4 linked regions of the Macaca mulatta genome follow. The protein of the gene in region 2 interacts with the protein of the main gene of each other region in a pairwise test. Links are inferred from orthologs where the notes say so. Each region holds a gene or a part of one and is shown on either strand. Other genes may lie near its edges. The genes, in order: SSX2IP, CCNH, KLC3 and DUSP12.

What was found.
Region 1: the proteins of CCNH (region 2) and SSX2IP interact in binary tests that used the Homo sapiens proteins (3 or more experiments, as listed by UniProt). The link is inferred for Macaca mulatta from reciprocal best matches to the Homo sapiens genes CCNH and SSX2IP.
Region 3: the proteins of CCNH (region 2) and KLC3 interact in binary tests that used the Homo sapiens proteins (3 or more experiments, as listed by UniProt). The two-hybrid records come from large-scale screens. The link is inferred for Macaca mulatta from reciprocal best matches to the Homo sapiens genes CCNH and KLC3.
Region 4: the proteins of CCNH (region 2) and DUSP12 interact in binary tests that used the Homo sapiens proteins (3 or more experiments, as listed by UniProt). The two-hybrid records come from large-scale screens. The link is inferred for Macaca mulatta from reciprocal best matches to the Homo sapiens genes CCNH and DUSP12.

Annotation. Positions count from the first base shown.
Region 1 is NC_133406.1:155,909,039-155,916,298, reverse strand, and holds part of SSX2IP (afadin- and alpha-actinin-binding protein), read right to left. Parts: intron 6,008-7,260; coding exon 5,857-6,007; intron 4,004-5,856; coding exon 3,867-4,003; intron 3,524-3,866; coding exon 3,350-3,523; intron 3,097-3,349; exon of another isoform or gene 2,728-3,096; intron 1-2,727. UniProt on the Homo sapiens protein: Belongs to an adhesion system, which plays a role in the organization of homotypic, interneuronal and heterotypic cell-cell adherens junctions (AJs).
Region 2 is NC_133411.1:93,770,526-93,777,785, forward strand, and holds the end of CCNH (cyclin-H), read right to left. Parts: intron 5,407-7,260; coding exon 5,295-5,406; intron 1,272-5,294; coding exon 1,211-1,271; coding exon of another isoform or gene 1,154-1,210; exon of another isoform or gene 659-1,153; coding exon 620-658; 3' UTR 437-619; downstream 1-436. UniProt on the Homo sapiens protein: Regulates CDK7, the catalytic subunit of the CDK-activating kinase (CAK) enzymatic complex. CAK activates the cyclin-associated kinases CDK1, CDK2, CDK4 and CDK6 by threonine phosphorylation.
Region 3 is NC_133424.1:57,869,187-57,876,481, forward strand, and holds the end of KLC3 (kinesin light chain 3), read left to right. Parts: intron 1-240; coding exon 241-471; intron 472-762; coding exon 763-832; intron 833-1,256; coding exon 1,257-1,476; intron 1,477-1,959; coding exon 1,960-2,047; intron 2,048-2,122; coding exon 2,123-2,224; coding exon of another isoform or gene 2,225-2,497; exon of another isoform or gene 2,498-2,521; intron 2,522-2,716; coding exon 2,717-2,890; intron 2,891-3,639; coding exon 3,640-3,730; intron 3,731-3,807; coding exon 3,808-3,845; intron 3,846-3,914; exon of another isoform or gene 3,915-3,933; coding exon 3,934-4,040; intron 4,041-4,238; coding exon 4,239-4,302; intron 4,303-4,431; exon of another isoform or gene 4,432-4,544; coding exon 4,545-4,616; 3' UTR 4,617-4,725; downstream 4,726-7,295. Other genes in the region: ERCC2 (general transcription and DNA repair factor IIH helicase subunit XPD), read right to left, coding at 4,850-4,942, 5,428-5,571, 5,734-5,877, 5,973-6,043, 6,300-6,372, 6,456-6,548. UniProt on the Homo sapiens protein: Kinesin is a microtubule-associated force-producing protein that may play a role in organelle transport. Plays a role during spermiogenesis in the development of the sperm tail midpiece and in the normal function of spermatozoa.
Region 4 is NC_133406.1:105,161,382-105,169,166, reverse strand, and holds the start of DUSP12 (dual specificity protein phosphatase 12), read left to right. Parts: upstream 1-2,584; 5' UTR 2,585-2,617; coding exon 2,618-2,961; intron 2,962-4,498; coding exon 4,499-4,612; intron 4,613-4,697; coding exon 4,698-4,816; intron 4,817-5,200; coding exon 5,201-5,297; intron 5,298-6,238; coding exon 6,239-6,425; intron 6,426-7,785. UniProt on the Homo sapiens protein: Dual specificity phosphatase; can dephosphorylate both phosphotyrosine and phosphoserine or phosphothreonine residues. Can dephosphorylate glucokinase (in vitro).

The sequences.
Region 1 (7,260 bases), on a different chromosome or scaffold from region 2:
TGAACTCCAGCCTGGGCGACACAGCGGGGCTCTGTCTCAAAAAGCAAAACAAAGCTGGGCATGGTGGCTCACACCTGTAATCCCAGCACTTTGGGAGGCTGAGGTGGGCGGATCCCAAGGTCAGGAGATGGAGACCATCCTGGCTAACACGGTAAAACCCCATCTCTACTAAAAATACGTTAAAAAAAAAAATTAGCTGGACGTGATGGCGGGCGCCTGTAGTCCCAGCTACTCCAGAGGCTGAGGCAGGAGAATGGCGTGAACCCAGGAGACGGAGCTCACAGTGAGCCGAGATCACGCCACTGCACGATCCATCACAAAGCAAGACTCCATCACACACAAAAAAAAGCAAAACAAAACAAAAAAAAACGAAGAAAAAATTCACTTAAGAAAAAATTACATTTAAAAAATAGAAATTCATGTTTCACCTACTAAACCAACCATCACTGTCTTCATATCAATTTTAAGTTCACACGAACAATGCAAAAAATGGAATAGAATATTAGCCTAACTTTTGAACATACAAAACATTACGAAGTTACAAACAAAAGAAAAACATTCTATATTGTAAATTAGTCACTTGAAAAAAAGGACCTATGACTTCATCAAGCATTTCTCTCATCCTCCAGCCATCTACCGGTACTGGTAAGCCACCACCACTAAACCACAAGAGGGCATATGCAAATTATGTCAAACCTCCCCCTTCTGAACAGCTGATGAATCCTAAACTAAATTCTCCATCAGCCCTCAGGTCTTGCATGCCTCCCTCCTATCCCTCACTATGCACACCATCCCAGTGACCAGACGGAGAAAGATTCTCATGCAGGGAAAGGCACCTGGCAACTGGGAGCAATATGCAAAGCATCAAGAGTATCTGTTGGAGTACTGTGGGGGATATGGGCTCGGAAACAGGTAGGACACAATGCTGGTGCAAATGTTCCCTGAAGATAGCTACTGATGAAACAGACATTTAGACTGGAACTGAGGAAATCCATGTCAGCTACTTAAAACAAGCAACACACAATCTTTCATTCATAAATATTGATACAGAATTATGCATCACCAAACATTTGAGAAAACTAGTAATAGAAAAAAGGTCAAGATAAATAGAAAACTGACCATGGATAACAGATAATTCAAGAGATGAAAGAAATCTTTAAAAAAAAGGTAACACATATTATCAGACAGATTAATAAACATCTGTAAAATATCATCACGCTATATAAAGAAAAGCAAAAATTAGGGACATTAGAAAATTTTAAAGATAAATTCTGAAACAAAAACTCAGTGGCTAAAGCAAATAATAAAACTGACCCTGAAAGGCCAGTTTCGTGATCTCTAAGACAAAGGTAAGAGAATATTCCAGAATTGAGAACAAAAGTCAACCTGTAGATATATATTCAGAAGGCCAAATGCGTGTCTAACAAAAGTTTCAGAACACAGAGAAGTCAAAGAAGGAAAAAATAAAGATGAAAATTTCCCTAAATTAAAGAAATACAGAACCTTTAGGCTGAAAGGAACTCTCCAGACATATCCCGGTAAAATGTCTAAACTTTAAAAAAATACCCAAGCTTCCACAGAGGGAAACAGAAAACAAAACACAGATATCTACAAAGTAACACAGGTATATTACAATCAGGCTTCTCATCAGTAAAACTAAACACTAGGAGAAAGGGAATAATTCAAAGTTTTGAGGGAAAAAAATGTAATCTAAATTCTACACCCAAACCAATCATGTATGAATATATTTTTGAATATTCCAGAATTCAGAATGTTTATAGCTCATGCACTATTTATAAAAAAAAATTACTCAAGAAGGTAATACAGCAAATTGAATAGAAACCCAAGAAAGACAGTAACATGAGATATAAGAAACATGGCAGCCGAATCTGATTCAGGAAATCACAAAGGAAGCTACAGAGAAAGTCAAAGAATTCACTAGATAGTGATATATCTGGGTGGCAAAGTCTTAACAATACAGAGTATTTTCTGTGTCAAAACATATTTGGTTATAGAATTATATTTACATAATTGTAATGTTATCAATTTTCTTTCCTGGTTTTCCAACTTTGAAGTCTCAAGTTTAGACAAAGTACTTATACCTGGATTGTATTGAAGGACAAACTATAAATGTGATAACAATGAAAAATAGTATCACAAACAAAAACTGCAAAGTAGGGGAGCAAGAGAGGTAGAACAAGAGTAACTACAAGAATGTCCTCAGCTTTCACTGCAGGGATGAACTGACACTGACTGAAGTTGAACAAACATAAAATGAAATGGAAGCTTCACATTATTTCCTTAAAGCAAAAAAAAAAAAGGCAATCAGAAGAACAAAAGGAACAACATTATGAAGACATGAGATGTGAATGAGGAAGGGTGTAGGCAGGAGATACAATAAGGACACAGAATTCCTTATCTTTCATAGCAGAGAATCAATAAACTGATAAAGAAGAAAATTTGAAATACATTAAAAGTTAAAATAGTACTTCCTACAAGAATTTCCAACAGATACTTTTAACAAAAGTTACCTCTAAGGACTGAAACTGGGGACGGGAAAGGAGGAGACTTTCTCACTTTGTAGCTTTTTTTATGAGTTTTGTTGATTTCTTTTAACTATAGTCAGACATTACTGCTACAATTTTTGAGGGGGGAATATGTTAGAAGACACATTGCTAAGTAAAAAAAGCAAGCTACATGGAGAAACCCTGTCTCTACTAAACATACAAAATAGGCCGGGTGTGGTGGCGCACGCCTGTAATCCCAGCTACTCAGGAAGGCTGAGGCAGGAGAATCGCTTGAACCCGGGAGGCAGAGGTTGCGGTGAGCCGAGATCGCGCTATTGCACTCCGGCCTGGGCAACAAGAGCAAAACTCCGTCACAAAAAAAAAAAAAAAAAAAAGCAAGCTGTAGAGCATATATATAACAATAGTGGACTGGGGAGAAGAGAACTTAATTTTTTTATTATACTTCCTTTTTAAACAGCAACGCAGTCTTGGTTGCACTGTCTTCTGACACCACACCTACTGACAGTGGATGAATGATGGATACCAAAAGAGATTTCTTGTGGAAATCTCTCAGCAGGAGAAAGCCAATCTGAAAGGAGTAATAAATGCTTATAGCCTTTTTTTTTTTTTTTTTTTTTTAGTTCAGTTCTCAAATCTGGTAAGGGGAAATAATCCCATTCTATATGCTCAGCCTCTCTTTCATTTCAAATTATTTATGAGATCACCAGTAAATATTTTAGAAAATAAGTAAATAGCAAGAAACCAAAGTAGACCTTAGAAGCATTCTACTAAGGCCCACCCACCCCCAGTATTTTCAAAAGCACTACCATTATTTAAAATACCTCCAATCCCAGGCGAATAGCGGCTTCTGTAAAGCTTCGTCTTTCTCTCTCAAAATTCTTTTTCTGCTCTTTAAAAAGCGACCATTCTTCTTTGAGGCGTTCCTTTTCTTCCAACAAATAACAGTCTCGTAATAGTGAAGTGGTATCATCATCACATGCAGTAGCAAGCTGCTGCTATTAAAATTTAAAACATAGTAAGTTCCTGAGGGGCCCTGCAACACTCCAACAACTTGAAATGAAAGCAAAGGAAGGTGGGTCAAACTTCAGGGCAGGAATATAAATTATTAAGAATCCAAAAGTCAAACGAGAATTCCCATTTCCCAAAAGCTACGACCCCAACTAGCAAAGTATGGACTATTTAAGGAATGGTACACAACGTATCTGTTAGCAGGAAACGTAGACTAGAAAACTGTCAAATACCAGGGCCTTATGAAATAAAGGAATACAAATCTGCTAACGTTCAGCACAATTCTGGCTTCTCATGGAGAACAAGTTTTACAAGGTAATTCATATTCACCTGCAAAAGCTGTTGCTGAGTTTTAATCATTTCTTTACACTGCTGAATTTCTAACTCAAGTTTTTCAGTTTCTTGTTCGTGGTCTTGTCGTGAGATAACATCTTCATCATTAAAACCTTCCAGGTGTACCTTTGAAACTAAGACAAAATCAGTAAGTTGACATAGGTTTTATAGCCACCATTTAGTTTACAGTGTTTCTACACATATCGTTAAAATAAGGGCTCTCAGAACTTTTATCTTTCTGGAATTTTATAGGTTTTCTAAAAAGTAGTTATGTCCTTTGGCTTTTTAAAATTTCATAAGCTATAACAAAATTACATTTATATTATTTTAACATTATAAAAAATTTTTAAGCAGCACAGCAACTACAGGAGTTCATGACAATTATATATTTGTACAATTTTAAGACTAAATGATATGCTTACAAATGGAGCTCTATTGCCAAGATTTAATTTGTAAACCATATTTATTCAAGATTATGTCCTAATTAAAAACAGACAAAATGGCCATATTCAGAGAAGAGAAAAATAAAATCATTATGTTTTTGTTGACACTGCTTCAAAGATCAATGACGTGTCACAAATCTTGCTCTCAAATATTAAATTCAACAAACACGAAGTCCAAACACACTTGCTATTTGCTAGTAGACAGCACTGACTCAAATGAACAAAATCTCGAGTATATTCATTTTGGTGTTGTAATAATAATTTTGCCGATTGCTCTTTACTACTTAACATAATGGCATTGAGTTCATATTTTGACAATTTAAATTTTTTCTTTAAATAGGCTTCATTTACTGAGCAGAAATCTTCATTTTCCTAATTTAAAAGCAAACTTTACCAAGTAGAAAATATTAAGAATATATTCATCAATGTAGAGCTATGTATAAGGAAAAAGAATAATGTCTGAAATAATAAAGTGAAAAAAGCACACTAAACAAAAATATAGGTGATATTCAATTTTTAAAAAATTTTTAAAAATAAGTATCTTGCAAATCCATAGAGGAAAGTCTAGAAAAATATACACCCAACTGTTAAGTGTTATATGTATGGAATGGAGACCTGGATATTCTACTTTATATACTTCCAAATTAATATTTTGCATTAAACATCTATTATTTTAAAAATAATTTTAAGTGAATTACTAGGAACACAGTAATCTGCAAGCATCTAGAAATAAGCAAAAAGTTCCTATCTATACTATGATAAATATTTCTTGATTTTTTGAGAGTCAGTAAAAGAGACTCAGTTTTCTCTCTTTTTTGGGGGGGAACAGGTGGTGTGTGGTTACATGAATAAGATCTTTGGTGGTGATTTCTGAGATTTTGGTGCACCCATCACCCAAGCAGTATACACTATATCCAATGTGTAGTCTTTTATCCCGGCTCAGTTATCTTTATTCGATTGTATACTGCATCCAGAGCAGATGGATCCATGATGTCCTCTTTTCAAACATTCACCCTGAGACCAAAGTGTATTTTTCTCAGTGAGGTTCAAACCTCACATCTAAATGTATGTAAAATCTTGGCTGTGCACTGTGGCTCACACCTGTAATCTGGACACTTTGGAGAGGCCAAGGCAGGTGAATCACTTGAGGCCAGGAGTTCAAGATGAGCCTGGCCAACACAGCGAAACCCCATCTCCACTAAAAACACACCAAAAAATTAGCTGGCTGTGATGCGCGCCTATAGTCCTAGCTGCTCAGGAGGCTGAGGCAGGAGAAATCACTTGAACCTGGGAGGCGGAGGTTACAGTGAGCCGAGATCGCACCACTACACTCCAGCCTGGGTGACAGAGCAAGGTTCTGTGTCAGAAAGTAAAATAAAATAAAATGAAAAAATAAATGTATGCAAAATCTTGCTTTCAAACCACCAAACTGAAGTATATAGTACTTTAGCTCTGAGCCTACAGATATAGCTTTCTAAGTGACTGAAAATCAACACCTTACCAAATGTCACAACTCACTTTACATGCAGAGAAGCAGTGGTTACCTTGGTTATCAAGTTTTTCTACATGACTTTTCAAAATTCTCCACTGTTTTCTGATGCTGTTTGTAAGCTGCTCTCTCACAGTTTCACAGGAAAGGTCCCACATGCTCTCTCTGCTCAGTTCCCCGGCATCTTCTTCAACATCAGAAATAACCTACAAGTGGAGAGAGATGAAGAGGAAAGGCTACCACTTTACAATGGCTTTAGATGCTCAGGCAAGTAGTCTTCAGTTTGATTTCCAGAGGGAGCCGCATCCGAAGCATTTCTGTGCTGTGTCTTATGCACATATGACCCAGTATTTAACATAAATGTCTTGGAAAAAAAAAAAAGAAAAAGACAGAGACTCCTAAATTCAGCTCGCTCTAAACCTGAATTTGAATCCAAATACAGTTAATCCAAATACAGTTAATGACAAGAGTCATGAAGCTGTCTGAGGAGATATCAATAGCTGTCTAATGTGTTGGATGTTTTCACACGTTATTTAACCCTCAGCTCATTACAATGTAGGAAAACTGAGGCTTAGAGAAGCAGCATTACAACTAAGAGGCAGAACTGATATTTGACATTAGATCAACTTGTTTCTAACCCTAGGCTGCTTAAAGAAACACATTTGTGAAATAATCTCTGAAGTACTTAATAGAAGCAACTGTTAATTCTATTTTCCTCATGTACTTTTGTATACAACTGGAGATATTTTTCTTTGTATTCTGCCAAAACATGAAATCATAAAGAAGTAGCAAACTTTACTGATATATGATCATACAGAATCAAAGCAGGATAAAGAACATGGGGAAACAATACTAAAATGGATATATGTCATAATAACCCACATCTACATAAAGTAGTTCTAATTTGTCATTAATATTCAGGAAGGTAGAAAGATACGCTTCACTAATTTGAACAATAAAAATCTTGCTGGGGTAAAAAGGAAGACAAAAGCTGAAAAGAAAGAAGGGCTGATTCGACTGCTCTCACATAGAGATCAGCAGGATGAGGGAGCAACTGAGTCTGAAGAACTCTATCAGTAGTTGAGGTCAGCAACGGCTAGTAGAGGTCAGGGATTCAGAGGCAGAGCAGACAGGGGAATGGCCCAGGATCTGGCTCATGGTGATTCTAGCCCCTTCCAATCCTCAAAAGCTACTTGCCAGTAACTGTTTCAAGGAAGCACAACTTGTCTTCTGAACATTTTAAAGCCTATTAGAATACTACGAATCTGTTAGAAAAATTATTGGCCAGGCGCAGTGGCTCACACCTGTATGTAATCCCAGCACTTTGGGAGGCCGAGGTGGGCAGATCACAAGATCAAGAGATCGAGACCATCCTGGCCAACATGGTGAAACCCTGTCTCTACTAAAAATACAAAAATTAGCTGGGCGTGGTGTTACATGCCTGTAGTCCCAGCTACTC
Region 2 (7,260 bases):
ACACAAGTGGCTTCTGCCTACTTATCTATACTAGCCTAAGAGTTTGATGTAGACAGCTATTCAAAATCATATATTTGTTTTTTTTAAAAAAACCCATTTGGAAATGTTTTTGGGTAAGTAAACAAATAATATTCATTACCCAGACAACTGGCTTTCAGTACCATGTAATAGTTGAAATACCTTCTGCAGTTTAATAGTAATGGACAAATAGCTAAATGTATCAGGATGGCATTCAAAAAGCCATTTATAAAGGTTTCTAGAGGGCAAAACACATTCCTTAACACTTTTAAAGCTAGCTACTAAGTTTTGGGTTTTGTGGTGCCTTTTTCTTAAAAAAGCATAGGTTTGCCTATCATATTTTGCTTAAAAAATTAGGCAAGTAAGTTGCAGCTTTAATTTGATATTAGTCATGATGGAATAAGAATATTCAAAACAGGTGCTATTCTAGCTCTTTTGAAGATGGTTTATTTTACATAAAGTTACTGTGAAAGGGAAAGAAAGTAATAGAAAAGTTTTAATATATTTTGTTTTCACATTACACTTTTTAAATAAAGTTAAACGCTTGATATGCTTCCTACTTCTCTTGATTAGTTAGCATTGAGAAATCAACTTCAAATGGTTAGAGAGATTCTACCAGGTCGTCGTCAGTCCATTCTTCCTAAGAAGGAAAAAAAGTGTGGTAAGGATAACACTGAAGCATAACCAGTATTGTTTACCTCTTACCTCCCTTTAGGAAAATGTTCTCCTCCTTTTACCCATGTGGATTACAAAAGATAAACCAGGAAATTTTGTAATAGTTCACTGTTAGTAATGTTGGCATGGTCTCACCAGACTACTCCAATGAGGAATAAAGGTTACAACTGTGACCTTCTGCCTCTGATTATTCACTTACCTGACTTGACAGAAAATTTGTTTTTAAAAGGGGGTAAGGGAAAAATCCTTGGAAAATAAGAAATAAAGCAAAAATGTAGTATGTATGCATATTGCTTCTTTCTATGAACACAAGAAGGATTTTTCATCAAGAAAGACAGAAGAGAGAAAAATCCCTTTAATAATGGACAACAGTACTGTACGTAAGGAAGTATGCAAAAAATGAAAAAACCCACAACTCTATAATGCTTATACTCTTGGAGAACAAATCTTAATAGTATAATCACACCAGAATGTGTAACAAAAATGACTTAGAGTTCATCTTTGGAGTAAAACATACCTCCTCATGTTTGGACTTCTTTGAGACGTAATCATCATCTTCATAGCCTTTCCTCTTCTTCCTATAATTATGCAACTATCAATAAGCAATCTAATACCAGCCACAGATACTATAAAATGTAAAATAAACTAGCAAGGCCATATGCAATATCATGTATATACTGAAAAACATAGGCCTGGATAAATGGAAAAAGATGAAGATTATGGGTAGGGAAAATGATACTTTTAAAATCAATCTTTAAATTAAATGCAATTCTAATTAAAACCCCAATAAAATTTTTCATGGAATTTGTCAAGTCTAACACTGACCTAGGAAGAAGTGTGAAAAAATAGATAATATAAAAAAGAACAATGTTGGAAGACCTTGTCCCAGTTATCTTCAAAGCATACTACAAAAGCTATGGTAATTAAAAGTGAGATATTACAAAAGCTATGGTAATTAAAAGTGAGATCATAAATCAATGATCAGACTAGATTAAGCAAAGTAATGACTATGCAGAAGTACAGATTTAATGTGTGATAAAAACTGTTTCAAATAACTAGGAAAAACATGAAATAAAAAATGAGCTGGGACCTGCCGGGCACAGGGGCTCACAATTGTAATCCCAGCACTTTAGGAGGCCGAGGCGGCAGATCGCCTGAGCCCAGGAATTTGAGACCAGCCTGAGCAATGTGGCGAAACCTTGTCTCTACAAAAAAAATTAAAAAATTAACCAACGTGGTTGAGCACCTGTAGTCCCAGCTACTCGAGAGGCTGAGGTGGGAAGATCACTTGAGCCCAGACAGCAGAGGGTACAGTGAGCAAAGATCGAGCCACTGCACTCCACCTGGATGACACAGACTTTCTCAAAAAAGTGGGGTTATGGGAGCTGGGGCAAAAATTAGTATTTGGAAAAAAGTTGTGAAAAACAATAGAATATATCATATATAAATAAATACAATCAGCCTTCTGTATCCTGTGGTTTCCACATCTGTGGACTCAACCAATTGCGGATTGAAAATAAGGAAAAAAATTCTATCTGTACTGAACACGTACAGACTTTGTCATTATTCCCTCAAGAATACAGTATGATAACTATTTACATAGTATTCACATTGTATTTAGGTATTATAAGTAATCTAGAGATGATTTAAAGTATATGGGAGGATGTGTACAGGTTATATGCAAATACACCATTTTGTATTAGGGCATCTGTGGATTTTGGTTATCAGCAGAAAGTCCTGAAACCAATCCCCCATGGATACTGAAAAATGACTGTATATAGAATCTATAAAGCACTACAAACCACAAAAATGTGGCCAGGTGCGGTGGCTCACGCCTGTAATCCCAGCACTTCGGGAGGCTGAGGTGGGCGGGGGTCAGGAGCTTGAGACCATCCTTGGCTAACATGGTGAAATCCCATCTCTACTAAAAATACAAAAAATAAAACTAGCCGGGCGTGGTGGCACGCACCTGTCATCCCAGCTACTTGGAAGGCTGAGGCAGGAGAATTGCTTGAACCCGGGAGGCAGAGGTTGCAGTGAGATTGCGCCACTGCACTCAGGCCTGGGTGACACAGCAAGACTCCATCTCAAAAAAAAAAAAACAAAAGCCAGAAAATTGGACAAGGGGAATAAATAAGCAACACAGTAGAAATATAAGTGACTGTTAAACGTGGAAACTTCAATGCCCCATAATTAAGAAAATGCAAATTAAAATACCAATGTGGTACTTTTTCACTCAGACTAGCAAAAGCTAAGCATTGATAATTACACGTTGTACAATACGTATGAAAGATGCAAAGAAGAAGAAAATGTGACTTATTTCATAAATACATATGGATATACGTGCAGAGAAAAGGCTGGCAAAGGTAAACAACTGCTAAGTAACTTCTGAGGTCATGACAGATTTGGGTTTTGATCAAAGGGAACTTTGGTTTCACTTGTATTGACTGACAAGGACCAAACAGTTTTTGTGTCATGAAAAATAAAGGTAAAATAATTTTGAAGATCAAGGAAAACAAATATTTAGTCCTAAAGTAGCACTACTCATGGTAGTGAGTACCAGGGCTGTTCCATGAACAGTTTGCACAGTTTGCAGTGAGTTAAGTATAGGAATTGTGTTTGGAAGGTTTTTTTTTTTCTTTTCTTTTTTTTTTTTTTTTTTTTGAGAGTCTCACTCTGTTGCCCAGGCTGGGGTGTAATGGCGTGATCTCGGCTCACTGTGACCCCTCCGGGGTTCAAGCAGTTCTCCCTGCCTCAGTCTTCCAAGTAGCTGGAATTACAGGCACCCGCCACCACGTCCGGCTAATTATTGTATTTTTAGTAGAGACGGTGTTTCACCATGTTGGCCAGGCTGGCTGGTCTCGAACTCCCGACCTCAGGTGATCTGCCTGCCTCAGCCTCCCAAAGTGCTGGGATTACAGGTATAAGCCACTGTGCCCAGCCCTAGAAATTTTTAATAGTAATCTGATATAATTTTATGACTGTTGAATCTAATAAAACTTGAGCTTATGTTTTTAGTCTTCACTCTTCTAGTAATTCATTTTTTATTGAATTTTACACAAGTATACATCTAGTGAATTTTTTTAAAAAAGTCCTTCACAGTTTAAGAAGCACCCCTCAAGTACTCATAGGTATTCAGAATTTGCTTGGCCCACCCAGTACAAGGCAGATGGCAATCTGGAATAAAATGTAAGCTATGGTAGTTAGGAATTCTGGATTATGGTCCATTCAGTTACTTAGCTAGAAAAGGTAGGATTAATAGTTCAGTGGTCTAATCCAGGGGTGGATAAACTTTAAAGAGACAGTAAATATTTTAGGTCTTGCAAGGCCCTATAATCAGTTTCTGTTTCAACTACCTAACTTTTCTGCTGTATCATGAAAATAGCCATAGGTGATACATAAACGAATGGGTGTGCTACATTCCAAGAAACTGTTTTAAAGACAGCTAATGGGCTGGATAGGCCTGATAGGCCACAGTTTGCCAACCCCTGGTCTAATCCCATTTCAAAATCAATGCAAAAAGAACATAATCAGTGCTGCAATACTTTTATTCATTAAAGCCAACATTACTTCTCTGTAACCACTCTGAAAAATTCCTGTTACCACTGAAACCCGGGAGTGAATGGAATCCACCAATTTCAAATTCTGTGCTAAATCATGCTTTGTCATTATAGCTCTACCTATAATAAAACAACCTCATATTCTGCACACTTCCTAACTCCCTATATATTCCCCGACTACAACTGTATAGGTAAGGAATTTGAATCATGTGTATTTGACATAAGGGCCTTGGAATGCTGTTCTGGCTTTTCATAGGTATCCAGCAGCACATATTCACCAATTACAGAAATAATACCTCAATACATCTTAAATATAAAATGCCACAGATAACTCTTACTAAATTTTAACAAATACAGTATAATTTTAAGTAACAAAATGCATCCCAAAGGAAATAGAAAATGACAGTTTAATTAATCCTAGTACCTGTCCAAATTCCCAACTGCTTAAACACCTAAAAGAGAAAGTTTAAGTGGATCTTTCAATTTACAAAGCATGCATTGCCAATTTTATGGTGATTTCCACATTCAGCTTACATATCAATTAAGAGACATTAAAGGTGTTATGTCTAGCTACAAGAAGAAATTAAATAGCCTATTTTCCTACTGGCTTTATCGTCAATATAAAGTTTGTCACTGAAAGCAAGTATGCCAACTTTCCCTACTCTAGCTAACAGAAGTCTGGAACAGCATATTTGTTCCTCAGACCAGGTATCACAGCTTCAGAGAGACCAAAGATTAAAAGGACAGGAAAAGGTAAAAGGATTCCTTAGGAAGACCCTGACCCCTGAAATCCCATGAGAAGTAACAGAACAGAATGGCCTGCAAGCCAAAGAACATATGAGTCACAGCAGGATCAGAACTGCACAGTGAATGCCAAACTATTAACTTAATCTCATTAGAAATGTCCATTCAATAAAGGAAATCTGATTTAATGGATCAGTCAGCTTTCCTCAAATGAGCAAACACCAATAAAATGATTTACGAACCAGTTGGACTGGGTAACAATTATGTCTATTGATTAACACTGTCACATCAACTTACGTGATTACATTAAGTGCAAGCTCAGCAGAATGACATCGCTCCAACTTCTGTTTCAGAACAGCAACTTCTTCAGATCTGGGTGGCTCATACTTTTTTACTAAGTTTCTCATGCCTATGTGGATACAAAAAAGAATTTAAACTGAATAAGCAAACCTTCTTATAGTAGCGGAGCTGGTTACTTTTCCATTTTGTTATAGGAAACAACAAAACACCCTGCAAATGACATGGTTATTCTTCTCAGGATTTGCATCATTCTGCATTTCATTTTACATTAAAATCCAATAAGCACTGCATGTTTAGTTGAAGTAATTATGGCTCTCTGCTGTTTAGCCCATATCATATATAACATAAAGCACACTGTATAATCTAGTATTTTTTGAAAATCCTACTGGGGTCACTTCTTGTTCAGTTTTAAGACTTAAAAAAAAAAATCCCTAAATGATTTAGTGAACATGTTTTGTTCTCTATCACCAACCATCTTTGTAATATTCTATTCCATAGATAGTGGGCCAACAGTATACTTCCTCTTTACAAAGTAAACTGTTATTACACAACATGCAATAAAGGAAGGATGCTTAGTAAAAATTTGTTAATAATCCTTTGCTTTAACAAAAAGCAGACCCTATACAAAAATGTCCACTTCAGGTTAAAAGCAAACTACTATATCAGTAACTTTATAATTGCAAAAGCATCCTCTAGCTGATCTTGCTATTCAACTATAATAAACCAAAGAATACCAATTTCAACATTAGGGGAATAATGAGATCCAATGAGCTTATTATTACTGTTAGCCAGCCATGTGATCCAAATGACTACACTAGTGACCTATTTCATAATGCAAACAAAACAGTATTTTTAATTGAATTAATACTTGTAACTCAACACCCTTAGGACAGTATCTGTGTTCCAAAAATTACCAGTATCTTAGTAGCATTAAACTTCTGAGTGTTTCATAAAGAGCTGTTTTTATTTCATTTTAAAATAAGTGGAGCAAAACAAAGGTATTGAGAAGAAATCAGTAATAAAACTAAGCTATGAAATGAGTACACTGGAATAAGACCCCCTTTACCTACTAAGTTCTATGATCCTAACAGCTACAGTCAAATCACAATTAGCTTTTAAAGTGAACCCCCTAGTGGCATAACTAAAGACCTACAGTTTATAATTCATAAACCACAGCCATCATTCTCCAAGAAGGAAGCCCTCAGGATCACTTCGAGCAGAGAATCAAGAAATGATAGAGATGCCCTGAAGCATCTTAAATTTTAAAACACAAAATATGTAAAATGTATACCCATTTACTCTCATCGAAGATCAAGATTTCAATCTTGTATTTTACTGGTTTAACATTTAATTACATTACAAATTTAATCAACAAGAACAATTTACACAAGGTTTGGAAACAAACATGATTGACTTTTTTTTTTTTTTGAGATGGCGTCTGACTCTGTCACCTAGGCTGGAGTGCAGTGGCGCAATCTCTGCTCACTGCAAGCTCTGCTCCCCGGGTTCATGCCATTCTCCTGCCTCAGCCTCCTGAGTAGCTGGGACTACAGGTGCCCACCACCATGCCCGGCTAATTTTTTGTATTTTTAGTAGAGATGCGGTTTCACAGTGTTCACCAGGATGGTCTCCATCTCCTGACCTCGTGATCTGCCCACCTCGGCCTCCCAAAGTGCTGAGATTACAGGCATGAGCCACCGCGCCCGGCCACATGATTGACTTTTAACCCCAAAGAGTAGCTTAGCAGCCATGACCAAGTGTGCCATGGGCAAGAATGAGGAATGGAGAATGCTGGTTAATTCAGCCAATAAGTAGAGATTCTACTCAACTCAGGACAGGGTTTCTCAACACCAGCACTCATAACGTTTTGGGCTGGATAAATCTTGGTTATTCAGGGCTGTATTATTTTCCCAACCTTGCTATTAAAATTATCACAAACGTGACGGCTTAAAACAACGGAAAT
Region 3 (7,295 bases), on a different chromosome or scaffold from region 2:
CCTGAACCAGATGGCATTCTTCAGTAAACTGTGGGTCCTAGGGCAACTTCAGGGGTGAAATCAGAGGGGCTGCTTAGAGCCTCTGAGGGCACTGGAGCCACGCTGGTGGAGTCTCTGCAGAATCTGGGGGTGTCGTACATAGTAGTGGGGTGCAGCGGCCTGATTCGAGGTCTGAGCTGGGTCAGAGGCTGTCTGGCAGGGTAGGAACCAACCTCGACTTGGGACCCACACCCTGGGCAGGTGCTGCTGGCCTTGTCGGCACACGTGGGTGCACTGGAGGCAGAGAAGCAGCGGCTGCGCTCGCAGGCCCGGCGGCTGGCCCAGGAGAACGTGTGGCTGCGGGAGGAACTGGAGGAGACACAGCGGCGGCTTCGGGCCAGCGAGGAGGCCGTGGCCCAGTTGGAGGAGGAAAAGCGCCACCTGGAGTTCCTGGGGCAGCTGCGACAGTACGACCCGCCCACGGAGACCCAGGTGCCACGGGCAGGGCAAGGTGGGGGTGCTGGGCCCTTCACAGAGCCCCACGGTTCCCCAGACCCTCCTTAGAATCCCAGTCCCCCAACCCTCCACAGAGCCCCCAGACCCACCAGAACTTCCGCAGACGCCCCCACTAGCTGCTCCCCGAAGCCCCCGGGCCTCGCCAGTCCCCCAGGGGGCCCCTGACGCTCATGATCACCACCTCCCTCAAACCCCGAGATAGATGCAGGGCTCCAGTCTCTGAAACAAGCCCCCCTCCCCCGGCCCCCCACTTTCCTGTCCCTGCAGCAGTCTGAGTCCCCGCCTCGCCGAGACAGCCTGGCCTCCTTGTTCCCCAGCGAGGAGGAGGAGAGGAAAGGTGGGTATCGGGAGTACATGCCACAGATGATGGCGGGCCAGGGTGGGGAGCGGGCTCTGAGCTGCAGAACCCCAAAATCTCTGAACAGGGATGGGGAGGTGAGGGCAGGGTCAGGAGGACCCTGAATGTGACAGTGAGCAGGTGAGGCTGGGAGCTGCGAAGACAGGGTAGCTGCCATGAGCCCGGCAGGCCCCGTATTCACATCTTGCAGGGCAAGTGAGCTGCCATGTACCTGTCCCGAGGCCAGGATGCATCCCACCAGCTGGTTAGATGCTAGTGACTCCAATCTCAGAAGTTAACATGGGGGCCCATAGTCCCAGGGGCCAGTTAGGCAGTCTGGGGCGTGTGTCTCCTCGTGCGAGGATGGAGGGGCAGGAGGCTTAGGAGGCTTGCAGTGACCCAGAGCCCACCCTGCCCCACCCAGGTCCTGAGGCCGCAGGAGCAGCAGCAGCTCAGCAGGGTGGCTATGAGATCCCTGCCCGCCTTCGGACCCTGCATAACCTCGTGATCCAGTACGCGGGGCAGGGCCGGTATGAGGTGGCGGTGCCCCTGTGCCGCCAGGCCTTGGAGGACCTGGAGCGCAGCTCGGGCCACTGCCACCCTGACGTGGCCACCATGCTCAACATCCTGGCACTGGTATACCGGTGAGATGCGGCCGGCCATGATGGCAGGGGGCAGGAACGGCAGGGACCCATTGGGTGCAAGTGGAGGGACCCTGGTCCCCTCTGCCACCATGGAGCACCTGGGGAGGTCGGAGGAGGGGACAGCCAGAATGGGAAAGGAAGGGAAGGCTCCTGCTGTAAGAACGGCAAAGAGGGAGTGGGCCAGGGATCTGGCGGGTTGGCGGGGCACTGAGTCAGGCAGAGAGGAGTCAGAGCACAGACACCAGGGACCCCAAGAGCAGGCAAGAGAACTGGGGTGGTTAGAAGCTTGGCAGAGGTCTGGGGATACAGGGCCTGGTGTTAGAGAATTGGAAGGTATGTAAGGGCCCATAAAAGGCCCCCAAAGGGTGCTACCCATGCTTGGTTCAGCCAGGTTCCCTGGACCTGCCAGAATTAGCCCAGCCCCTGTGGCTGTAGCTGCCCCAACCCCCGGCCAACCCCCGCCATCCCTGGGCTTCCACACAGGGACCAGAACAAGTACAAAGAAGCCACAGAGCTCCTCCATGATGCCCTGCAGATCCGGGAGCAGACGCTGGGCCCTGAGCACCCTGCGGTGAGTGGGGCCCCAGGGAGACGAAGTGGGGCCATGCCTGCCCATCCCTGACCTGTGTCTCCCCCAACCCCACAGGTGGCCGCCACGCTCAACAACTTGGCCGTCCTCTATGGGAAGCGCGGGCGTTACCGGGAGGCAGAGCCCCTGTGCCAGCGCGCTTTGGAGATCCGAGAGAAGGTCCCATCCCCCTTACCCAACCCCGAGGAACCCCTTGTAGCCCTCTCCATGGATCCTGAGCACTTACATCGTGACCCTGATCCTCGGGCCCCTTGCGTTTGGTACTGGGAGACCCCAATTGGAGCCCAACCCATCACCCTCGACCTTCTGAGATCCCAGTTTGGTCTTGACCCTGACTCTGACCTCTTGCCTTACCTCACACGCCACCCCCCAACTAGGTCCCGCCACAGCCTTTCCAACCCCTCATGGCCACTGGCACAAGCCCAGCCCTGACCTACCCATCTCACCTTGTGCCCCGTGAGTTTCTGGATCACCTTGGCCTCTGACCTCAGTAATCCCGCTCGACGGTGTCACTTGTGCCCCAGCCCCCAACCTCTCAGGTCACTCTGCTTTGGCCCTGTAATCCCTAACTTGTGACCACCATACAGAAGTGATGTCACGTGTCCCACCAATCCTGTATGACCCCTCTGACTTGTGACCCCTGGCCCCCAGGTCCTAGGTGCTGACCACCCTGATGTGGCCAAGCAGCTCAACAACCTGGCCCTGCTGTGCCAGAACCAGGGCAAGTTTGAGGACGTGGAACGGCACTACGCCCGGGCCCTGAGCATCTATGAGGCCCTGGGCGGGCCCCATGATCCCAACGTGGCCAAGACCAAGAACAATCTGGTGAGGTCCCTGGGGCTGAGTGGGCCCAGAGTGGAGGGTCTGCCCTGGGGAGGCACCCATTGGTTGGGTACAGGGCACCATGGGGAGGGGTCCCCCTGAGGCAGGGCCCTTGGAGCAAGTGTCCTATCAGACACAGGAGCTGGCTCAGCACAGAACACGGAATCAGGAAATGCGTGAGTCCACGGGACCCAGGACAGTCAGTGAAGGGGAAGCTGGCAGGCACAGATGGCAGCAGCAGACATTTATTGAGCTCACTGTGGCCGGCTCCCCTCTTAGCTCTGTCCCCACATCACTAGTTCTTACAGTGTCCCTATGAGGTAGAAGCTGTCACTCTACTTTGCATGTGAGAAGAGAGGCCATGCCACCAGCCCAAAGTAGAGCAGACAGGCTCAGAAACAGGAGGTTGCCTGCCCTCCATCCCCCAGGCAGGAGGTAGGGCGGAGCTCCAAACCCCCTCTGCCCCAGGGCAAGGCTTTAGGCAGGGGCGGGATATGGCCAGGTCAGCACAGTAGAAAGTGGGACTGGGGCCAGGTGTGGTGGCTCACGCCTGTAACCCCAGCACTTTGGGAGGCCAAGGCAGGAGGATCAGTTGAGGCCAGGAGTTCACGACCAGCCTGGGCAACATACCAAAACCCTGTCTCTACAAAAAAAAAAGAAAAAAAGTGGGACTGGATGCAGTGTTGGGAACTGGGGTCCGAAAAGTTCCCAGACTAGAGCCAAGATCACCCAAGACACTCCCTTCTCCGCAGGCCTCAGCCTACCTGAAACAGAACAAGTACCAACAAGCGGAAGAGCTGTACAAAGAAATCCTCCACAAGGAGGATCTACCTGCCCCTCTCGGTGAGCCCCGAGCCCCTGCCTTCCCTCCTGGTGGCTTCTCTACGTCCCCATCTCGGTGTCCCCCATCTTTCCCCTAGGTGCCCCCAACACAGGCACAGCTGGTGACACAGAACAGGTGAGGATGGGCTGTGCTTCGGCTCCTGGGGAAGGCGTGAGGACTGCATGGGCTCGGAGATATGAGCAGCATCCCTGCCCCTCCCCAGGCCCTTCGCCGCAGCAGCTCCCTCTCTAAGATCCGCGAGTCTATCCGGCGAGGAAGTGAGAAGCTGGTCTCCCGCCTCCGAGGCGAGGGGGCGGCGGGGGCGGCCGGGTGAGTGTGGATCAGGTCGGCAAAGAGCCCTGACATCAGCAGAATTCATAGCCCACCCCCCACCCCTCCTGCTCAAGAACCTTCCATGGCTCCCATCTCCCCTGTGATACACATAGATCAAATCCTGTGCTGGAAAGCTCCCTCCTGGAGGGGCCACTCCTGGATTCACTCGCTTCTTCCCTGCTGCCCCCTTCGCAGAATGAAGAGAGCCATGTCGCTCAACACACTCAATGTGGATGGCCCAAGGGCTCCTGGGACTCAGGTGAGGGGACACCGGGGTCAAAAATGGAGTGGGGCCACGTGGGTAGGTGCAGAGATAAGGCAAAAGCAGGGCGGTCAGGCCGGCGTCAGAGTCAGCAGGTGGTGGGTGTGTTAAAAGAGACCCAGGACAGGAGCAAAGATGGGTTTTACTTGGGGTAGAGGTGAGATGGGTAGACGGTTGGCTGCCAGGCTGGATGCAGCACCTGTCCCTCCCCTCCAACCATCCCCTGTGCCTGTCTCCAGTTCCCCAGCTGGCACCTGGACAAGGCCCCTCGGACACTCAGCACCAGCACCCAGGACCTGAGTCCCCGCTAATATCCAGTGACCTGTGTTGGCCTCAGCTGGTGGGGGACGGGGGGGGTCTATCATCTCTTAGGTGCCCCCTGCCCTCTTCTGCGATTAAAGGCCGTGGATGTGACAGTGAGGAATGTCACCTGAGTTTATAAGACCTTCCAGCACCACCCCCGCTACGGCCTCAGAGCTGCTGGTTTAGGGCCAGGCAAGACTCAGGAGTCACCAGGAATCATTTATGGCCCTGCCCATCCCGCTCAGAGCTGCTGAGCAATCTGCTCTATCCTCTGCAGCGTCTCCTCTGATTCCAGCTGCTCCAGGCTGAGCAAGGACAGGCCCAGCTGATCCTCCTGCAGAGAACAGAGGAAAGTAAGGGGGGCACTGTCAGGAAGGGGCCCAGGCAGCTGCTGTACTTCCCCGACCACCCGCCCCCGATGGGCATTAGGGGTCTGAGACATGAGGGCCAGGATGTTTGAATTTGGAGATGTCAGTATAATCCAGAGTGGGCCATTCCTGTCCACATAAGAGGGGGCTGAGGGAGGAGCCAGCCAGGGCGTCGGAGAAGGACGGGCTTTCCCCAGGCCAGCACAGTCTCAATGCCTGATACCTCCTCACCCCAAATTCTCACCCTGCCTTGCCTGGGCCACCTGCTGGCATCTGTGGCCCCTCGAATCTCTCCCTACCCCCCAGAGCCTGGCATGCAGATGCACAATAAACTTCTCTCTGTAGAGGGCAGGAGGACAGGCTGGGGTTGGGGAGTGGGGAGAATCCAAGGGGCCTTTCTGGAGGAGGAGCTCAGCCTGGGAGGATGCTGGGAGGGGGATGCAGGCCTCACCCGGTGGAAGGGCTGTGCCATCTGCCGCAGGAAGTACTTGGCCACCTGGACACCCTCATCCACAGTCAGGTTGAGGTTGGCATCTGTGAGGTGCTCCTGGATCCAGCGGGGCAGTTTCCCCCGCTTGTCCCCACGGGCAAACCGCTGTGGGCAGAAGTGCAGGCCAGGGAGAGGACGTCAGCACCAGAGTCAGGGAGCCTGGGCCACCCTCCACCCTGTGACACACCCCATCTGGGAGATGAACGGGCAAATAGCCTGGTTTTCAGAGGCTGGGGTGCGAGCACAGGGGCACCCCTGAACCTGCACCTTGTCGGCAAAGACCATGAGGCCGTAGTCCGTCTTGCCCCGGATGGCCCGACCCACACACTGGGCCGCATGGCGCATGGCATCGAAGGTGAGAAAGTCATTCTCACGAATCTGGAACTGGTCCCGCAGGTATTCCAGCCGTGCCTGCAGAAATGAAGGACGAGGAGTTGGGGGGGTGGGGGAGCCGTCCCTCCCCTGGCCCTAACACTTTGGGACTTCTGGGAGCCAGAGCTACTCACCTTGAGAATGCGACTCTGTGTGTAGACGTAGGGGACGCCAAACATGATGACGGCCCGCCCGTAGTGGTGCACTGGTGGGCAGAGGAGAGGGGTCGAGGGGAGTTACAAGTGTGGCTGGTGGGACAGGGACAGCCTCACGCGCCCCAGGATGCTGTGTCTGAGTGGGAGAGAGAGGGTATGCTCCCGCCGGGTGCCTAGGGCCAGAGGGGAGGGGAGGGTCCCTCTGTGCACCCAGGCTGTGGGTGGGTGGTCCCCCGCGGGAGCAGACAGCAGGTGTTCCAGAGAGCTCTGGGAAGACACCTGGGGAGGAAGAGCGAGTCCACTCACCGAAGTCGATTCCCTCAGACACTTTGCCCCGGGCCACTGACAGCAGGATGGCCCCGCGTCCATTCTCGCAGGCCTGAGGTGGGGAGGCAAGATGCAAGTTGGGTCACTCCTCGGAGCCACCTCCCCACCCCCTCCACGCTGGCCTCACACACCCACCTCCTGGTACTTCTCCAGGGCGACACTGGTTTCGGCACCATCCTGGGTCTCAATAAAGAGCAGCTTGTTCCTCTGGATGTTCTCAAGGATCCCCTGGGGAAGGACCCAGGGAGGTCAGGGTGGGGGTGGCAGAAGGTGGGTTCAGGGCACGGCCATCCTGGTTATCTCCAACTCTCCTACATCACTATTTCTCTGGGCCTCAGCTGGCTCATCTGAGATGTGGGGAGGGAGGGTGGAATTGTCCAACCTTACTTCTTTGGGGGGAACTTAGTGATCTGGGTGGGGAACCAATCACTGCTGGATAAGTGGGGCAGGCATGTGGCTCAAGGGGGTGGCCAATCAGGGCACCCCATCCCCTGCCAGCGACTGGTGGAGGGGCTGACTGTGAGGCAGGCAGAGTCAATCAGAGGCTGCCCTGAGATTTCCCATATGACACTACAATACAGACTGTGGAGCCAGTGCAAGGACACAGACCAGTGGGACAAAATGGAGAGTCCAGAAACACACAGCCATCTGTGCAGTTCAGTGGGGACAGCTTTTATTGGAGCAAGTGGATTTCCAAATGGAACCAAAAAATGAACCTTGACCCCCTACCTTACACCATATAGAAAGATGAATTTGAGGTACCTCATAGACCTAGATGTGAAAGCTAAAACCACAAGCTCTTAGAAGGAAACACAGCAGCCTCTCTTCATGACCTTGGGGTATTTAAGACAAAGTTGTCTTAAATAGGACACAAAAGGAACCTGGGCTGTGGGGACGGGATCACCTTTCCGCCGTGTGGAAGCCAGCTATTGAAGCACAAGGCCAAGGTCCCGGCTGTGAGGATGAGGTTCCTGC
Region 4 (7,785 bases), on a different chromosome or scaffold from region 2:
TCCCCATATGTTTTCTACTAAGAATGTTATATTTTTAGGTCCTTAATCTATTTGGAGTTATTTTTTGTATATGGTCCAAGGTAAGGGTCCACCTTCATTCTTTTGCATGTGGATATCTAGTTTTTGCCAACACTGTTGAGGAGATTGTCCTTTTTCCATTGTGTGGTCTTGACACTCTTTTTGAAGATTATTCTAACATATATGCAATGTGGCAGGTGATCAACAACTTTCTGGGCTGGTGACACAGGTGGTAGGAAGAATTTACCAACACAGTTGTAGGTAAAGAAAGACAGGTTTATTAGAGAAAGTATGAAAATACATTGCAAGGGTACAACAGGCAGGTCAGCAAGAGAGAAGTTGACTGCTAGAAAACAAAGGCTTGCTGGGGATTTTGTAGAATGGTGCTTATGTTGTGTGCAGAAGAGGGCTTTGTGCAGTACTAATAATGTCAAGGTTGCAGTGAACTAACTTCCATTTTTCTATCAGCTAGGGGTCTGGTGATGGCTGGGCTCAGGCAGATTTTGAGTTATTTGCACAGCAGGGCTGTGTGTCCTGGACCATGAAGAAAGGCAGACTTGTGGCTTATCTGCTTTCTCCTTTTGCTTCCCTTCGTCCAGCCAGCCTGACTCCTTTTCCCTAATTAGGACTCCACATGCAAGGGTTTGTTCTGTTCTAGAACAGAAACAGATCGATGTATCTATCTTTATACCAGCATTATAACTTCTACGTCTTGACCAATTACAACTTTAGTATCTCTCTCGCCTGTCCTCTGTTGTGGGAAGTCAGGGACCCTGAATGGATGGACCAGTTGAAGCCATGGCAGAAGAACATAAATTGTGAAGATTTCATGGACATTTATTAGTTCCCCAAATTAATACTTTTATAATTTCTTACACCTGTCTTTACTGCAATCTCTGAACATAAATTGTGAAGATTTCATGGACATTTATCCCTTCCCCAATCAGTACTCTTGTGATTTCCTATGCCTGTCTTTATTTTAATCTCTTAATCCCGTCATCTTTGTAAGCTGAGGATGACTGTCACCTCAGGACCCTGTGATAATTGCGTTAACTGCACAAATTGTTTGTCGAGCATGTGTATTTGAACAATATGAAATCTGGCACCTTAAGAACAGGATAACAGCGATTTTCAGAGAACAAGGGAGATAACCTTAAAGTCTGGCTGCCAGTGGGCAGGCAGGACAGAGCCATATTTCTCTCATTACTGAAAACGGGCAAGATAAATATCACTGAATTATTTCCCTAGTAAGGAATATTAATAATTAACAGCCCTGGGAAAAGAATGCATTCCCAGAGGAGGCCTCTAAAATGGCTGCTCTGGGGGTGTCTGTCTTATGCAGATGTAGATAGGGATGAAACACGCCCTAGTCTTCTGCAGTGCCCCCAGGCTTGCTAGGATTAGGAAATTCCAGCCTGGCAAATTCTAGTCAGACCAGTTCTCTGCTCTTGAACCTTGTTTATCCATGACAATGTGTGCACAGCTGGACATGGAAGTTCATTAGTGATTCTAGTTTCACTCTGACTTTGTGATCTCGCCCTGACCTCCTGCCTTGTGATCTTTTGTCGCCCTTGAAGCGTGTGATCTCTGTGACCCACACTCGATTTGTGCACTCCCTCTCTTTTGAAAATTGCTAATAAAAACTTGCTGGTTTTGTGGCTCAGGGGGCATGATGGAACCTGCTGACATGTGATGTCTCCCCTAGACACCGAGCTTTAAAATTTCTCTCTTTTGTACTCTTTCCCTTTATTTCTCAGACCAGCTGACACTTAGGGAAAATAGAAAAGAACCTACGTGAAATATTGGGGGCTGAATTTCCCCCAATAGTCCTCCCTATACAAGAGATAAATAAAAGATACTCATAGTACTGAGTATCTTCCTGCAGCATTCAATCTGGAGCAAAGCCGGCTTCCTTAAACCCTTTCCAAAAATCCCCAGATAAAAGCCCAAAATCTGTATAGGATCTTCCTAACATCCTCGTGCTGAGATGCCCTGAAACTCTCCATAGCTCATGACTGAGTAATAAAACCAACTTGCTTAATTAAAGTTGGTTTCGGGTAGTCCTGGCTGGAGGACATTGACTTACAAAAATATAGGATTAACATCTTCAAAATAAATAGACAGTAAACATCAACAAGGATTCACACACCAATAATGAAATTGGGCAGAAAAAGGAAAAATAATCATAAGATGCAAAGTACAGATGGCTTTATAATACTGAAAATAATTGTACTTCAAATGCATAAAATGACGCTTCTGATTCAGCCGGTGCGACCTTTATTTCACATTTGAGTTCAGCTGCTCCTGATGTCTCTCTCCTGAAAATTTCAATATTAAAAGCCAGAGAAACCCTGTATTTGGGGAAGCTTATCCTTTACCATCAACTTTGGGGTGGGGGTCAGAGGGAACAGGGCACGAAACGCCGCGCTGAATGGGGCCGAAGCTCCGCCCCTTAGCGATAAGTCCATTTTCCTGCGGCCAACGTTGTCCTCCAAGGGAGCAGCTGAGCCGCTGAGGCTGGCGAGTCCCAGGGGAAGGATGTTCTAGCCGGAGCCTACTCGATGGTAGGGCAGGAGCCGCCTGGTGTCTGGGCGCGGCCATGTTGGAGGCTCCGGGCCCGAGTCATGGCTGCGAGCCCTGCAACCCCGGTGCCAGCAGAGCCACCTGCGCCGGGCAGATGCTGGAAGTGCAGCCAGGACTGTATCTCAGTGGGGTCGCGGCCGTCGCGGAGCCAGACCACTTGAGGGAAGCGGGCATCACGGCCGTGCTAACGGTGGACTCGGAGGAGCCCAGCTTCAAGGCGGGGCCTGGGGTCGAGGATCTGTGGCGCCTCTTCGTGCCAGCGCTGGACAAACCCGAGACCGATCTGCTCAGCCATCTGGACCGGTGCGTGGCCTTCATCGGTCAGGCCCGCGCTGAGGGCCGTACGGTGTTGGTGCACTGGTGAGTGGCCGGGTCAGTGGCGACGTGCCCCGCCAAGCACCCCTTTCCTTCCGAGGCCCTCGGGAGGACGAGAGCGCGGTCATGCCGCGTGAACCTCCTCCAGCTACCTCCCGCAGGAGGCGTGTATCCAAGAGAGGAGGAGGCTGGAGGCGGGCCCCTGGTGTGTGCAGGCTTTCATTCATTCATGCTTTAGTTGGTTCTTCCTGCTGCAACAGAGGGCGGGGGAGGTGTCATCCGATAAATGACAAATTACCTACGCCCCAAGGAGTTTACGGCTCTGTTGGAGAAGCTAGACACCCACCGATGATTGTAATGCAGATTAGGTTGCTTGGTGTCTTGTAAACAGGATTTACAAAGATTTAGGGTTCAATGTTTTTGTTTGGGATGGGTAGGGGGTGGTTGATGAAGAGGAGAATTGGTTTGGATCTAAAGGATCCCTGGGCTTTACCTAGGGAGGAGATAGTTGCAGCAAAGACAAAAAGAAAATGGGAATCCCGGCAGGGCGCGGTGGCTCACGCCTGTAGTCCCAGCACTTTGGGAGGCAGGCGGATCACGAGGTCAGGAGTTCCAGACCAGCCTGGCCAATATGGTGAAACCACGTCTCTAACAAAAATACAAAAATTAGCCGGGCGTGGTGGCGCTCGTCTGTAGTCTCAGCTACTCGGGAGGCTGAGGCAGGAGAATCACTTTGAACCTGGGAGGCAGAGGTTGCAGGGAGCCGAGGTTGTGCCACAGCACTCCAGCCTGGGCAACAGAGCAAGACTCCATCTCAAAAAAAAAAAAAAAAAAAAAAAAAGAAAAGAAAAGAAAATGGGAATCCCTAAGCAGTTCTTGGTTGGATTGGAGTATAATAACAATAGTTTAAATTTATTGAGCACATAAAAGACAGAAGATAGTGATAGAATCGAAGGAAGTCTGGGACCAGATTTTGAGGTCCCTGAATGCTAAGATGAAAGGAGATTGGATTTGTTTTTGTTTTGTTTTATTTATTTTTATTTTGAGTCTTGCTCTGTCACCCAGGCTGCAGTGTAGTAGCGTAATTACGGCTCACTGCAGTCTCAACCTCCCAGGCTCAAGTGATCCTCCCGCCTCAGCCTCCAGAGTAGCTGGGACTACAGGCACGCGCCACCACATCCGGCTAATTTTTTGTAGAGGTGGGGTCTCACTTTGTTGCCCAGGCTGGTCTCCAACTCCTGGGCTCAAGCAATCCCGTACCTCGGCCGCCCAAAGTGCTGGGATTTCAGGGGTAAGTAAGCCACTGTGTCTAGCCAGGAGTTTGGATTTGTTCTGAGCCATTATAAAAAATTTTAAAATTACTGTTATTATTTTTGAATAGGTAATACAGTCACATGGTTCAGAATTCAAGAGGAAAAAGGAATAATTCTTTTGTACCTGATAATATTTCAGAGGCAATGGGCTTATCTGAGAAGTAGAAATGAAGTGGGCCTAAACTTTACTATTAATAGGGGGCTGGGTTTTGTGTGTTTGTTTTTAATTGTTGCTATTTGCTGTTTTATTTTAAAGGTCTCTTTTTCAGTCACGCAGGAGTCAGTCGAAGTGTGGCCATAATAACTGCTTTTCTCATGAAGACTGACCTACTTCCCTTTGAAAAAGCCTATGAAAAGCTCCAGATTCTCAAACCAGAGGCCAAGTGGGTTCTTTTTTTTATAGTAATAATTCTGCTTTTGTGATGTTATTTTAAGAAAATGAAACTTTGTATTTCTTTATCATTACAGGATGAATGAGGGGTTTGAGTGGCAACTGAAATTATACCAGGCAATGGGATATGAAGTGGATACCTCTAGTGCAATTTATAAGCAATATCGTTTACAAAAGGTTACAGAGAAGTATCCAGGTAAGTAATAATCACTAGTGTGTAATGGGCTTTCTAAATGTCATTTACTTTTGGCATTGCATGCATTACCTCACTTCCAGCAATCCCCGAGAAACTATTGTTTCTTTTTGAAACTGATTTAGCCAGAAATAACTTATTCAAAATCACATGGTTTATAAATGGCAGGGTTGGGATTTGAACTCGGTCAGCCTGTGCCCAGAACCTAAGTACTTAAATCACTGTCCTCTCCTACCTTAGCCTGATTTCTCAACACTGGAATTTGATTTTTTTTTTTTATTTTAATTTCTGAGGTTAGCACTTCTTGCCTCAATTTGACATTAACTGAATTTATCTGAAAATGCAGTTGATTTTGACAAATAAATACATTTTAGTTATATCATATAGAATTGCAGAATTTACCTCAAGAACTCTTTGCTGTTGACCCAACCACGGTTTCACAAGGATTGAAAGATGAGGTTCTCTACAAGTGTAGAAAGTGCAGGTAAAATATTTTGTATCCTTTGGATATTTTATCTTCTCAGTAACTGAAAAGTAGCTAAAGTTTTATTTTCTTAAATTTCTGTAGGAAGATTTTGTTTAATTGAAGAATATAGAAATTTTTAGTTCAGATCTGTTTTCAGGAAGAATATAAATTCTTAAAAAGAGAAATAATCAGATTGTAAGGGTTATTGAAAATTTAAGTAGCATAATCAGTGTTACATTATTTTGTCCTCTAAGCAATATTGCACATATTGCTGGGTGCGGTGGCTTATGTCTGTAATACCAGCACTTTGGGAGGCCCAGGCAGGCAGATCACCTGAGGTCAGGAGTTTGAGACTAGCCTGGCCAAAGTGGTGAAACCCCGGCCAGGCGCGGTGGCTCATGCCTGTAATCCCAGCACTTTGGGAGGCCGAGGCGGGCGGATCACAAGGTCAGGAGATCGAGACCATCCTGGCTAACACGGTGAAACCCCCTCTCTACTAAAAATACAAAAAAATTGGCCGGGAGTGGTGGCCGGCACCTGTAGTCCCAGCTACTGGGGAGGCTGAGGCAGGAGAATGGCGTGAACCCAGGAGGGGGAGCTTGCAGTGAGCCGAGATTGCGCCACTGCACTCCAGCCTGGGCGACAGAGCGAGACTCCATCTGAAAAAAAAAAAAAAAAGTGGTGAAACCCCGTGTCTATTAAAACTACAAAAATTAGCTGGCCATGGTGGCGGGTGGCTGTAATCCCAGCTACTCAGGAGGCTGAGGCGGGAGAATCAGTTGAACCCAGGAGGGGGAGGTTGCAGTGAGCTGTGATCACACCACTGCACTCCAGCATGGGCGACAGAGTGAGACTCTGTCTCAAACAAACAAACAAACAAAAAAGAAATACTGCACATTTAATCCATGTTTTCATCCTTTTGGAAGTCATTAATGTTTTTGTTTGTTTGGGGGTTGCAGGCGATCATTATTTCGAAGTTCTAGTATTCTGGATCACCATGAAGGAAGTGGACCTATAGCCTTTGCACACAAGAGAATGACACCATCTTTCATGCTTACCACAGGGAGACAAGCTCAATGTACATCTTATTTCATTGAACCTGTACAGTGGATGGAATCTGCTTTGTTGGGAGTGATGGATGGACAGGTGAGAACACATTTTATTTTCTACAATTTTATTTTATCATCTATATTTTATTCCTTCTTGCATTTTATTTTATTTTATTTTATTTTATTTTTTATTTTTTTGAGGCAGAGTCTCGCTCTCTTGCCCAGGCTGGAGTGCAGTGGCTGGATCTCAGCTTGCTGCAAGCTCCACCTCCTGGGTTCACACCATTCTCCTGCCTCAGCCTCCTGAGTAGCTGGGACTACAGGCGCCCGCCGCCTCGCCTGGCTAGTTTTTTGTATTTTTTAGTGGAGACGGGGTTTCACTGTGTTAGCCAGGATGGTCTCGATCTCTTGACCTCGTGATCCACCCGTCTTGGCCTCCCAAAGTGCTGGGATTACAGGCTTGAGCCACCCTTCTTGCATTTTAAACTCTTATTTTAACTAGTGTTTTACTCCATTTAATTCCTTTATTTCTGAAGATTATATCTTTCTAGTGTAGATAAGCCTATCAAAAATAAAATATTTTTCAAAAACCAGCTGATCCAAAATAGTGAACTACTTCTGGTTGAGAGCCCTGGCCTAAGTTAATAAATTTCCTTTAAGGCTATTTATATTTTTTCAAATATAAGACTAACATTTATTTTTAAACTAATTAGAATATGTTGGCTGAGCACTCATGCCTCATTAGCTCATGCCTGTAATCTGAGCACTTTGGGAGGCTGAGGCGGGAGGATCGCTTGAGCCCAGGGTTTCAAGACTAGCCTGGGCAACATAGTGAGACCTCATCTCTATAAAAGAAAGTAAACAATTTTTAATTAAAAAAAAATGTATTTAACAATATTTGAACTTTTATAATAAGAGTAGGGTAAATCAGGGATTTTAAAATTAGGTTAAAAGTTCTGTCTTTCTTCTTCTCTGTTGGCTTCCTGTATGTGTCTCTCTTTTTTTTCTGATCTTTTAGGAAATTGAAATTTAGTATGTTTTACTATGAGATTCTTTTTCATTTCCAGTTAAATAATGCAGCTCATTCTCTTGCTCCTATAACCAGTGTGTGGGGAAAAAAAGAAAAACAAAGAATGCAGTTCATGTGACATTTTACATAAAGAAGTGTTTAACTTGGTGGGAGCGTGCCATGACAGCCACATTTCTCCTTTAGGTTTACTTGATATTAATGTGAAGGTATTCTATAATAATAATTATAATAATGATTTTGAAAGTTTGTATGGTTTGTATAAAAGTTTGTATAGTGGCTATTTTATGAACCCTTTTACTATATTATACCATTTGAAGAATGCCATAGCTTTATAAAATAGGTAGAGCAGTTATATTCATACGTTATGCATGAGGAAACTGTGTTTTTTTTTTTTTTTTGAGTTGGAGTCCTGCGCTGTTGCCCAGCC